2 linked regions of the Cricetulus griseus genome follow. The main gene of each other region encodes a partner of the protein of the gene in region 2 in a complex. Links are inferred from orthologs where the notes say so. Each region holds a gene or a part of one and is shown on either strand. Other genes may lie near its edges. The genes, in order: Col1a1 and Fn1.

The links.
Region 1: the proteins of Fn1 (region 2) and Col1a1 are in contact, whole or in part, in a crystal structure (PDB 3GXE), measured with the Homo sapiens proteins. The link is inferred for Cricetulus griseus from reciprocal best matches to the Homo sapiens genes FN1 and COL1A1. Residues at the interface, in NP_997647.2 of Homo sapiens: Asp516, Gln517, Lys533, His535, Glu537, His539, Leu541, Gly549, Arg550, Gly551, Arg552, Trp553, Lys554, Cys555, Pro557, Gln560, Phe569; in NP_000079.2 of Homo sapiens: Leu261, Pro262, Gly263, Met264, Lys265, Gly266, His267, Arg268.

Annotation. Positions count from the first base shown.
Region 1 is NC_048600.1:108,125,964-108,129,766, reverse strand, and holds part of Col1a1 (collagen alpha-1(I) chain), read right to left. Parts: coding exon 3,766-3,803; intron 3,602-3,765; coding exon 3,494-3,601; intron 3,394-3,493; coding exon 3,340-3,393; intron 3,078-3,339; coding exon 2,979-3,077; intron 2,857-2,978; coding exon 2,803-2,856; intron 2,713-2,802; coding exon 2,614-2,712; intron 2,146-2,613; coding exon 2,092-2,145; intron 1,907-2,091; coding exon 1,853-1,906; intron 1,753-1,852; coding exon 1,699-1,752; intron 1,604-1,698; coding exon 1,550-1,603; intron 1,170-1,549; coding exon 1,125-1,169; intron 1,034-1,124; coding exon 935-1,033; intron 718-934; coding exon 610-717; intron 241-609; coding exon 133-240; intron 1-132. UniProt on the Homo sapiens protein: Type I collagen is a member of group I collagen (fibrillar forming collagen).
Region 2 is NC_048595.1:425,036,468-425,040,813, forward strand, and holds the start of Fn1 (fibronectin), read right to left. Parts: upstream 2,974-4,346; 5' UTR 2,808-2,973; coding exon 2,645-2,807; intron 1,523-2,644; coding exon 1,394-1,522; intron 513-1,393; coding exon 375-512; intron 1-374. UniProt on the Homo sapiens protein: Fibronectins bind cell surfaces and various compounds including collagen, fibrin, heparin, DNA, and actin. Fibronectins are involved in cell adhesion, cell motility, opsonization, wound healing, and maintenance of cell shape.

The sequences.
Region 1 (3,803 bases), on a different chromosome or scaffold from region 2:
CCACCCTTCTGGTCCCTCAAACTTCCTGGGTCACCAGCTTTATATGGCAGGACATGCCTTCCCTGCAGAGCCCCACCTGGGCTTGCTGAGGCAGTTATGTGTTAGGAAATCAGTGACAAAGCAGCCACTCACCTTGTCACCAGGGGCACCAGCAGGGCCAGGAGGACCAATGGGACCAGTCAGACCACGGACGCCATCTTTGCCAGGAGAGCCATCGGCACCTTTGGGTCCAGCATCACCCTAAAGACAGGGTAAAGTCAGACTTCCAGTGTGGGGCCAGGAGTTGAGCTACAGAGTTCTGCAAATATTTCTCAGGGTCCTTCTTCAGGTACAGCATTCTGCAGATGTTTCTCAGACACGGTGCCAAGGATACAAGATCCTTTCAGGGGTAAAGGTGCCTACTTGAGGATTTACGTGGAACCTGGGTTAAGAGGCCCCTGAGGTCAACAGGACAATAAATAAGGGCGCCTCCATTAGGGGAAAGCCCCAGCTCTCATTACCATGGTAACATCAGGAGAAGGGCCTGAATCACAGGCATAAAATTACCCAGCAAAGCAAGGAGATGGGTGAGAACCACCAAGAGCTCATAGGAGGGGAAGGTTGACTTACTCTGTCACCCTTAGGACCTGGAAGACCAGCTGCACCACGTTCACCAGGCATTCCCTGAAGACCGGGAGCGCCCTGGCTACCGGGAGCTCCGGGGGCACCAGTATCACCCTGTTTGGTAAACAAAAAGATGAGTGAGACATGGAGTCCCAGGAAATGTCTCAGAGCCCCTATGTGTGGGTCCAAGGTCAAGGTTCCAGCTAAAAGAACAAACTCACAGATCTGACCTCAGGTTCCATAGGCCCCCACTCTGGTCTTGTCCCCCAACCCTCCACACCTCTATGGTTTGAGTCTCATAGCCATCATACCCTTTCCATGATGCCCTCACCTTGGCACCATCATTGCCAGGAGCACCATTGTTTCCACGGGGACCAGCAGGACCTGGGGGACCTTGTACACCACGCTCACCAGGGAAACCTCTCTCGCCCTACAAAGGAAGGAGAGGGCACATGATGGCTGCTCCAACAGGGCCAAGCCCAGGACATAGTGATGGAAATGGCATGAGAGGGCCCACTTACTCTTGCTCCAGAGGGTCCAGGGGCACCAAGGTCTCCAGGAACACCCTGAGGGTGGGAAGGAGAAACAACAGTGAGACCAAACTCCCCTTGAGCCTCTGCCCCTCTTGCTGTGAGCTGGTCCTTGGGGCCCACATTTAGAGATGGACACATTTTCGGCTGAGAATTGGAATCTCTTTTTAACAGTAGGAAGGCTTGAGGTAAAGCCAGAGTTATTCTGTATAAAGAAGTCACCTTGCCTAGAACCCACACAACCATTTCCAGATCATATGTAGCTCCCATGTTCTTTTTAGTGTAACCACAGTCCTCCCCTGTGTCTAACCTCTCTTTCTAGCTGCTGCCTTCCTGACCAGCTAGGGACAGTGAGTGGTTTGTTACTTTTTTATTTCCTGCATGCTCCTGCCCTCTGCCCAGCTGCTATGTCTTACCTGTTCACCGGGCTTGCCTGCTTCACCAGGAGGACCAGCAGGGCCGGGGAGACCCTGTAAGGTGGGAGATGGAGGGGAAGGGCTTAAAATCTGTAAGAGTTAACAAAGGAACATCCTGAACTCTCTAGAAACCTGTCACCAGACCTTACCTGGAATCCAGGGGAGCCAGCGGGGCCTTGTTCACCTCTCTCACCAGCAGGACCCTGTCACAGAGAAGAGGCTGTGGTCATGAATAGTCCAAGGAGAAGGGAGGCAGAGTGCCCCCTTCCCTGCTCCCCAGGCCTCCCAGACAGAGACACTTACAGCAGGGCCGGGGGCTCCCTGAGCTCCAGCTTCTCCATCTTTGCCAGCAGGACCCTGTAGGGAGAAGGTGATAAACTCAGTGTGGTGAGGCAGATAACAGCAGCAGGTAAGGCCTGAACCTCTGGGACAAAGCAGAGCCCACCAGTGGCTTCCAATGTTCTCACAGTGGCTGCACTCTGAGGATGGTATGTGTCACAGCAGGGACAGAAGGGTGACAGAGACTCAAAAGAGATACTTACAACAGGGCCAGGGGGTCCAGGAACGCCCCGCTCTCCAGCCTTTCCGGGTTCTCCCTATGTAGAAAGGGAGGCAGGGTTGAGGGTCACGGCAGGAGACCGTTGCAGTCAAGGACCCCCTCATTACAGTGAGTGTTCCTAGGGGGCTTTCTGTTCAAGAAGGCTGCAGCCTCTAGGGGAGGCCTTGCTGGCATCTAATGCTTGGCCTCTCTGCCTGCACCCAAAGCAGATGTTGCCCAAGGCTCCTTCCTAGTCACCCTCTCCCCCTCCTTTTCCCTGACTCACACCTGCAATGGCTTTTTATTTCCTCAGCGTTCTCCCTTCCCTACCAAACTTAGGGGTGACTCTTGGATAGAAAGCCCAATACTTATTTGTTGGGGACAAAGCAATGATCATGGAGCCAAGAGTCTCTTATTTTACCAATGGGTCCATATAGGGTTATTAAGGGGCCTGAGGTCATGGAGCAAGTCAGTGGAGTTAGTACAGCTGTCCCTGGTTCTGCTTTGTTCCTCATTGGGTACTTACAGCAGTACCCTTAGGTCCAGGGAATCCCATCACACCAGCCTGGCCACGGGCTCCAGGAGGACCTGGGGGTCCAGGGCGACCATCTTGACCAGCGGGACCCTGAGGACGAGAGGCAGAAGAGTTGCCGTAAGGACAAAGTTATGTATACAGTGGGGTAGGGGTGAAGAGTGAGAGAGGAAGCATACTTACAGGGGGGCCGGTTTTGCCATCAGGACCAGGGCTGCCAGGACTGCCAGTGAGACCCTGTGGAGAGGCAGAAGCATGAACAAAGGAAGGGGGAGGGGGACGGTGTGTGTGTGTGGAGTCTGGAGCACCAATTACAGGCTGTCCCAGTCTCACACAGGACAGAGGGTCTTGGCTCTCACCTTGGCACCAGGGAGACCAGCTTCACCAGGACGACCAGCTTCACCAGGAGAACCTTTAGGACCAGCAGGCCCGGGAGAACCACGTTCACCAGCAGGACCCTAAGTGGATAGAAGTCACAGACACATCAGGGTCACAGCCTTGGCCTCATCACCATGGCTAGCATCTTCTTCATGCTAGGAGAAGGTTCAGGACTTTGAGGGGCATCGGTGGGGATGCCAAAGTGAGGCCAAATATTAGGAGGAGGGATACACAAATATGGGCATGGGTAGCTGGGAGCATTGTTGGGAGCATGAGTGTAGGGAGGTGTGAACAGTCCTGTCAGCTTGGGGGGTCAGTTTCACTGCCAGGAAGAAAGGTTACCTTGGGGCCAGCAACACCATCAGCACCAGGGAAACCACGGCTACCAGGTCCACCCTGCAGGGAGAAAAGAAGAGGCCAGTGAGCTTAATCACCACCCTAGACACTGGGCAAGCACTGAGGGCAGAGAGAAGAGGGAGAAGAGCAGGGGACTTACACGCTCGCCAGGAGGTCCGGGCAGGCCAGTCGGTCCAGGTTCACCACGGGCTCCTCGTTTTCCTTCTTCCCCAGCAGGGCCAGGGGGACCTTGAACACCAGCAGGGCCCTGGAGTGGGCAGAGAGAGAGTGGCCTACGTGAGGGGCACAAGACCCAGGAGCCTACAAGGCTGACCTCTAGCAGGGGTGGGGGCTCCCTTCCTCCTTGGGTTTCCCTGGAGAGGCTCCCAGGCCCAAGGGGCTGAGGAGAAGGAGGGGTGACATGGGACTTACGGGCTCTCCTTTGGCACCAGTGTCTCCTTTGTTGCCAG
Region 2 (4,346 bases):
AATCTGACTTGAAGATGCCCGGGAATGTAAAATAAGTAGATCTTCTGTGGATACCTTATTGAAAAGAACCAAGAGATCTACCTGGTTCCACGGTATACACGCATGCTCATGCTCTCTCTCGTGTGCACATGTGCACTGGCACGCGCGCACATACACACACACACACACACACACACACACACACACACCCCTCTATTAGACCCTTCTTCCTCAGCTTAGGTACAAGAAGTAGGTGGGTGACCACGTGGGTAGGGTCACAGGGGTAAATCCCAAAGTAAGAAATATTCTGTCACAGGCAATAGAAAACGGCAGGGACAGGATGGAGAAATACATGTTTATGGGCCCTCCACCACATTACAGAGCGCCTTTCTTACTTGCAATGGTACAGCTGATCCTCCCTCGCCCAGCCCCGATGCAGGTACAGTCCCAGATCATGGAATCTTTAGGGCGCTCGTAAGTGTCACCCACTTTGTAAGTGTTCCCAGTGTATTTGTCAAAGCAAGTCTCTTCAGCTGTGGAGAAGAAGAAGCCCACGTGAGCCTCACACACATAAAAGCTTGTCTATCCCTCCCATCCATCTGAGGGAGATGCCCCTCTTCTGGGTCACAAGTAGCAACACTACAAGTAACTGAGATGAGACTTCAAAAAATTTCAAGTTATGATTTAATGAAACCATAGTTCTTGGCCTTTGGCAAGCTCTGCAATTTGTTCTCTCTTTACAATGTAAAGAATTCTCAGGAAGAAGCCACACCCTATGACCAGCTGAGTTGCAAAGAAAAGGTTTCAAATTCCAGCCTCAAACTGGGGAAATCAATTCAAGGGCCACGTGGGAGGCACACAGTTTGAAGGTTGCCTTCCTCTCAGCAGGCACTGGCCTTTGTCAGCCTGACTGACATGTTTCCCCTGTAGCCTGAGCAGTTTCTCTGGAGGGACCGCTGTGATTCACAAGAAACATATCAAGGGCCTTCAAAGTCTCAGAAGTGGTGGTGGTTTCTCATTGAACTGCAGCTAACAAATCACTTTACAACACAGGAGCTTCAAAGCATTTCTTGGCCCATAATGTGAGAGCCAAAGATCTGAGATAACTTTCTAATAAATTAAACTTTTATAAGCAAACTTTTGTAAGTTTTCTTTTTGAAGAAAGACAGGCAAAACCTTTCATTTTCTAATCAAATTCTTTGAGAATAAAATGAAGGTTTTGGAAGCTAGTTTGGAATACATTTGTTTTAGGGGTAAGAGGAGCATGTGAAAAGCCAATACCAGAGGTTTGACAAAGAGGGAATTAGCGGCAGTTCTACAGGGGTGGAGTGGGGGGGGCAAATTATTTTTATTGAAAGTTAACTTTAATAAGTCAGCATCATTTTTGCCAGCGACCAGACTGCATTCCACTTACGTTCAGGTTTACTCTCACAGTTAAAACCTCGGCTTCCTCCATAGCAGGTACAAACCAAGGCATTGCCTAGATAGGTGCGTTCCCACTGTTGGTTTATCTGATAGTGTTTTCCATTGTCAAAACAACCAGCTGTGAAGAATTGAAGGGAAAGGTAATTACAATTTCATCCCTCCTCTTTTATTCCCCGAACAAAATTTTGTCAACAGAATTGGCAAGACTGAACGAACACAAAAATCTCATAAAAACAATATTCCACTAAAATAAGGAAGTGGAAACTAGCTGTCCAAAGACTTAAGCATTATTTATGTAGGTGGGTATTTACATATTTTTTCTTATCTTTTAACTTGGCTAAAAGTTATATAATGATGTCATGTCCATCTGACCAGGAGAACTACATCAGCAATGTGGAAACATTATGATACACAAATAATAGAAATCACCTTTAAAATCACTTCAATAGTCTTAGAAAAAAAAAAAAAAAAGACAAGAAAACGCTAAGTTGGGTGTGCTGTTGACCATGCCTGTAACCCCAGCTCTGTGGAAACTGAGACAGGAGAATTGCTCCAAGTTTAACACGAGCCTAGGCTACACAGGAAGAGTAATGGGGCTAGCTTAGGCTACAGTGTGAGACTAACTCAAAAATAAAAAAATGAGGAGGGGGAACTTTTAAATTTTCCTCTAGCCCCAAGTAAAAGAAGGGTGTGTCTCTAAAAAACTCCAAGAGAAATTGCAATCCTTGCTGTTGGTGAGGTAGCCCAACGGCAGCACCGAGCCAACTCTTTCAAGTTGGTCAGAGACTATTTAGATATCCTTTCCTCATGCCCATTTGGAAAATATTTAACCAATTATTTAGTAATAAAGAAAATAAGGAGCAGAGGGGATCACGCTAATCTCAGACGTAAAATGTCTAAATTTGTGTCACTTTTCTCTTTCACCACAAGTTTTGGCTCCGGGCAGGGCAATCTGAAGGTGTAGAATTGGTTAGCGCACTGTGGGGGCGGGGGGGGGGGCGGACCATACGGTCCCCGCCGCAACTGCAGGATCTTCTCCAGAGCCCTCCACCCCCAACCAGCCTGTTCAAACCTAAGCCTTTTGTGTCCACAGCTGGTTTCTTTCAGTGAAGCGCGCACTCACACACGCTCGCCCAGCCACGCACGCGCGCAAAACTTTCGCTACAACTTCAGCGGGCGCTGAGGACTGACCCATCCCTGCAGCCGGCCGCTTGGTTTCAGCCAGACTGTCGGTACTCACGCTTGCTTTGACTGACAGCCACCGGGGACTGAGGCTGCACGATTTGCTGAGGCTGCACGATTTGCTGAGTCTGCCTCTTGCTCTTCCCGGCTTCGGTACAGCGCACCGCTGTCCCCAGGCACAGGACGGCCAGCAGCAGCCCGGGTCCCGGACCCCTGAGCATCTTGAGTGGATGGGAGGAGAGTCGCCCTCCCCAGGCGGCAAGTGGCCCCGAAGTGTGGGTCCCTTCGCAGTCTGCGGGGGAAAGTCCTGAGGTGCGGACGCCTGTAAGAAGATGGGGAACAGAGGCTGGAAAGAAGGCGGGAGAGGACCAGAAGTTGTGGCCGCAGGTCCCGCTCAAGCCCGGGGCTCCCTCTCCTCCCCTAGTGCAGCGCAGCGGGTGCGGGCGGCTATGCCCCAAGAGCCGGGGCTTATATGGGACAGTCCCCTCCCGCCCCCCACGAGGCCCTGCGGGCTGGGGAGGAGGGACCGGCCCCACTCCCCCCACCCCTCCTGCCGCCGCAGCCGCCGCCGACCGCGCACCGATTGGCCCGGAGTGCGAGTGACGTCACGGGGGACGGTGGGTTCGCCCCGAACAAAAGAGATGCTGATCTCCCGCCAGGTCTGGGGCTAGAAAACTTTTTTTTTCCCCTTTTGGTTTCCTTTGCGGTCGTCAAACTTTTTGGAGGAGGATTGGGGGTAGGGATGGGAAACGACTGTAAAGTGAGATAGACCCGGAGGGAAGGGAGGGAGGAGCTGGAGCTACATGAAGCCTGGGATGACAAGGCTTGCCCCCCTCTTTTTCCTCTTTTTTTTTTTTTTCCTTTTTTTAAATTGGTGGCTGTGGTGGTGTTTGAGAACATTGCGTCACCTCTGAGAAAAGTCTGTCCTCACCGGAGTGTATTTTGTGGGGAGCGAGAAAGTCATAAAGTGGCCACCACCTTGTGGCTGTAGGAATCCAGACTTCACTTTTGCAGCCCCGGGGTGGGGCGGCTGCTTCTGGGTGCTTTTCCTGGGTCTCCTGTGCGCCGCCTAGGGTCCCCCTTTGCTTTACACTGTTGGGCTCAGACCCCAGCTCCTCCAAGCAATACCTACATGATTTCGAACAAGAGCCGGCTGGGAGAGAGTGAACGCGTGGCAAAGGTGACCCTTGCCCTGGGGGCTCTCCGTGGAGCTCGGCAGACGGCAGGCAAACTCACACGACCAAGTTTCTCTGCAAAGATGAAGCAACAGTTTCTTTTCTGAGTCCTGAAGCAAAGTTTTCCTCTCCTGGGAATGGAGTGCCCGTTTCCTTTAGAAGGAGAGTGAACAGTTTGAGAAGAGGAGTAGTTGAACTGGCTGATGAAGGAGGGAAAAACCTTCCGGTCCATGCCATGTTCACTAGGCCATTTGCATCCAGAGAAGAGGTGGCCTCTGTAAAAGAGCGGGCATGGGCAGAAAAGCCTTTAGGTCTTGACTTCCTCCAGCTTTCCCCCAATCCCTTCGCGTGGTCACTTTCTTTTTTGTAGACTTCACTGTCATGGAAGAATTCCTCTATCCACCCCTCCTCCTCCGCCGCCAGATTTTTCTTTTTTTATATTTCAATTGTTATTTGCTCCAAGAATGTATAAAGTTCCACTGAAAATTCTCCGGACATTCTACACTCCTGAGGTTGTAAAGGGGACCGGAGATACCCCCCCCCCCCGCAGTCAGCAGTTCTAAACACTGGTTCTCTCTCTCTCTC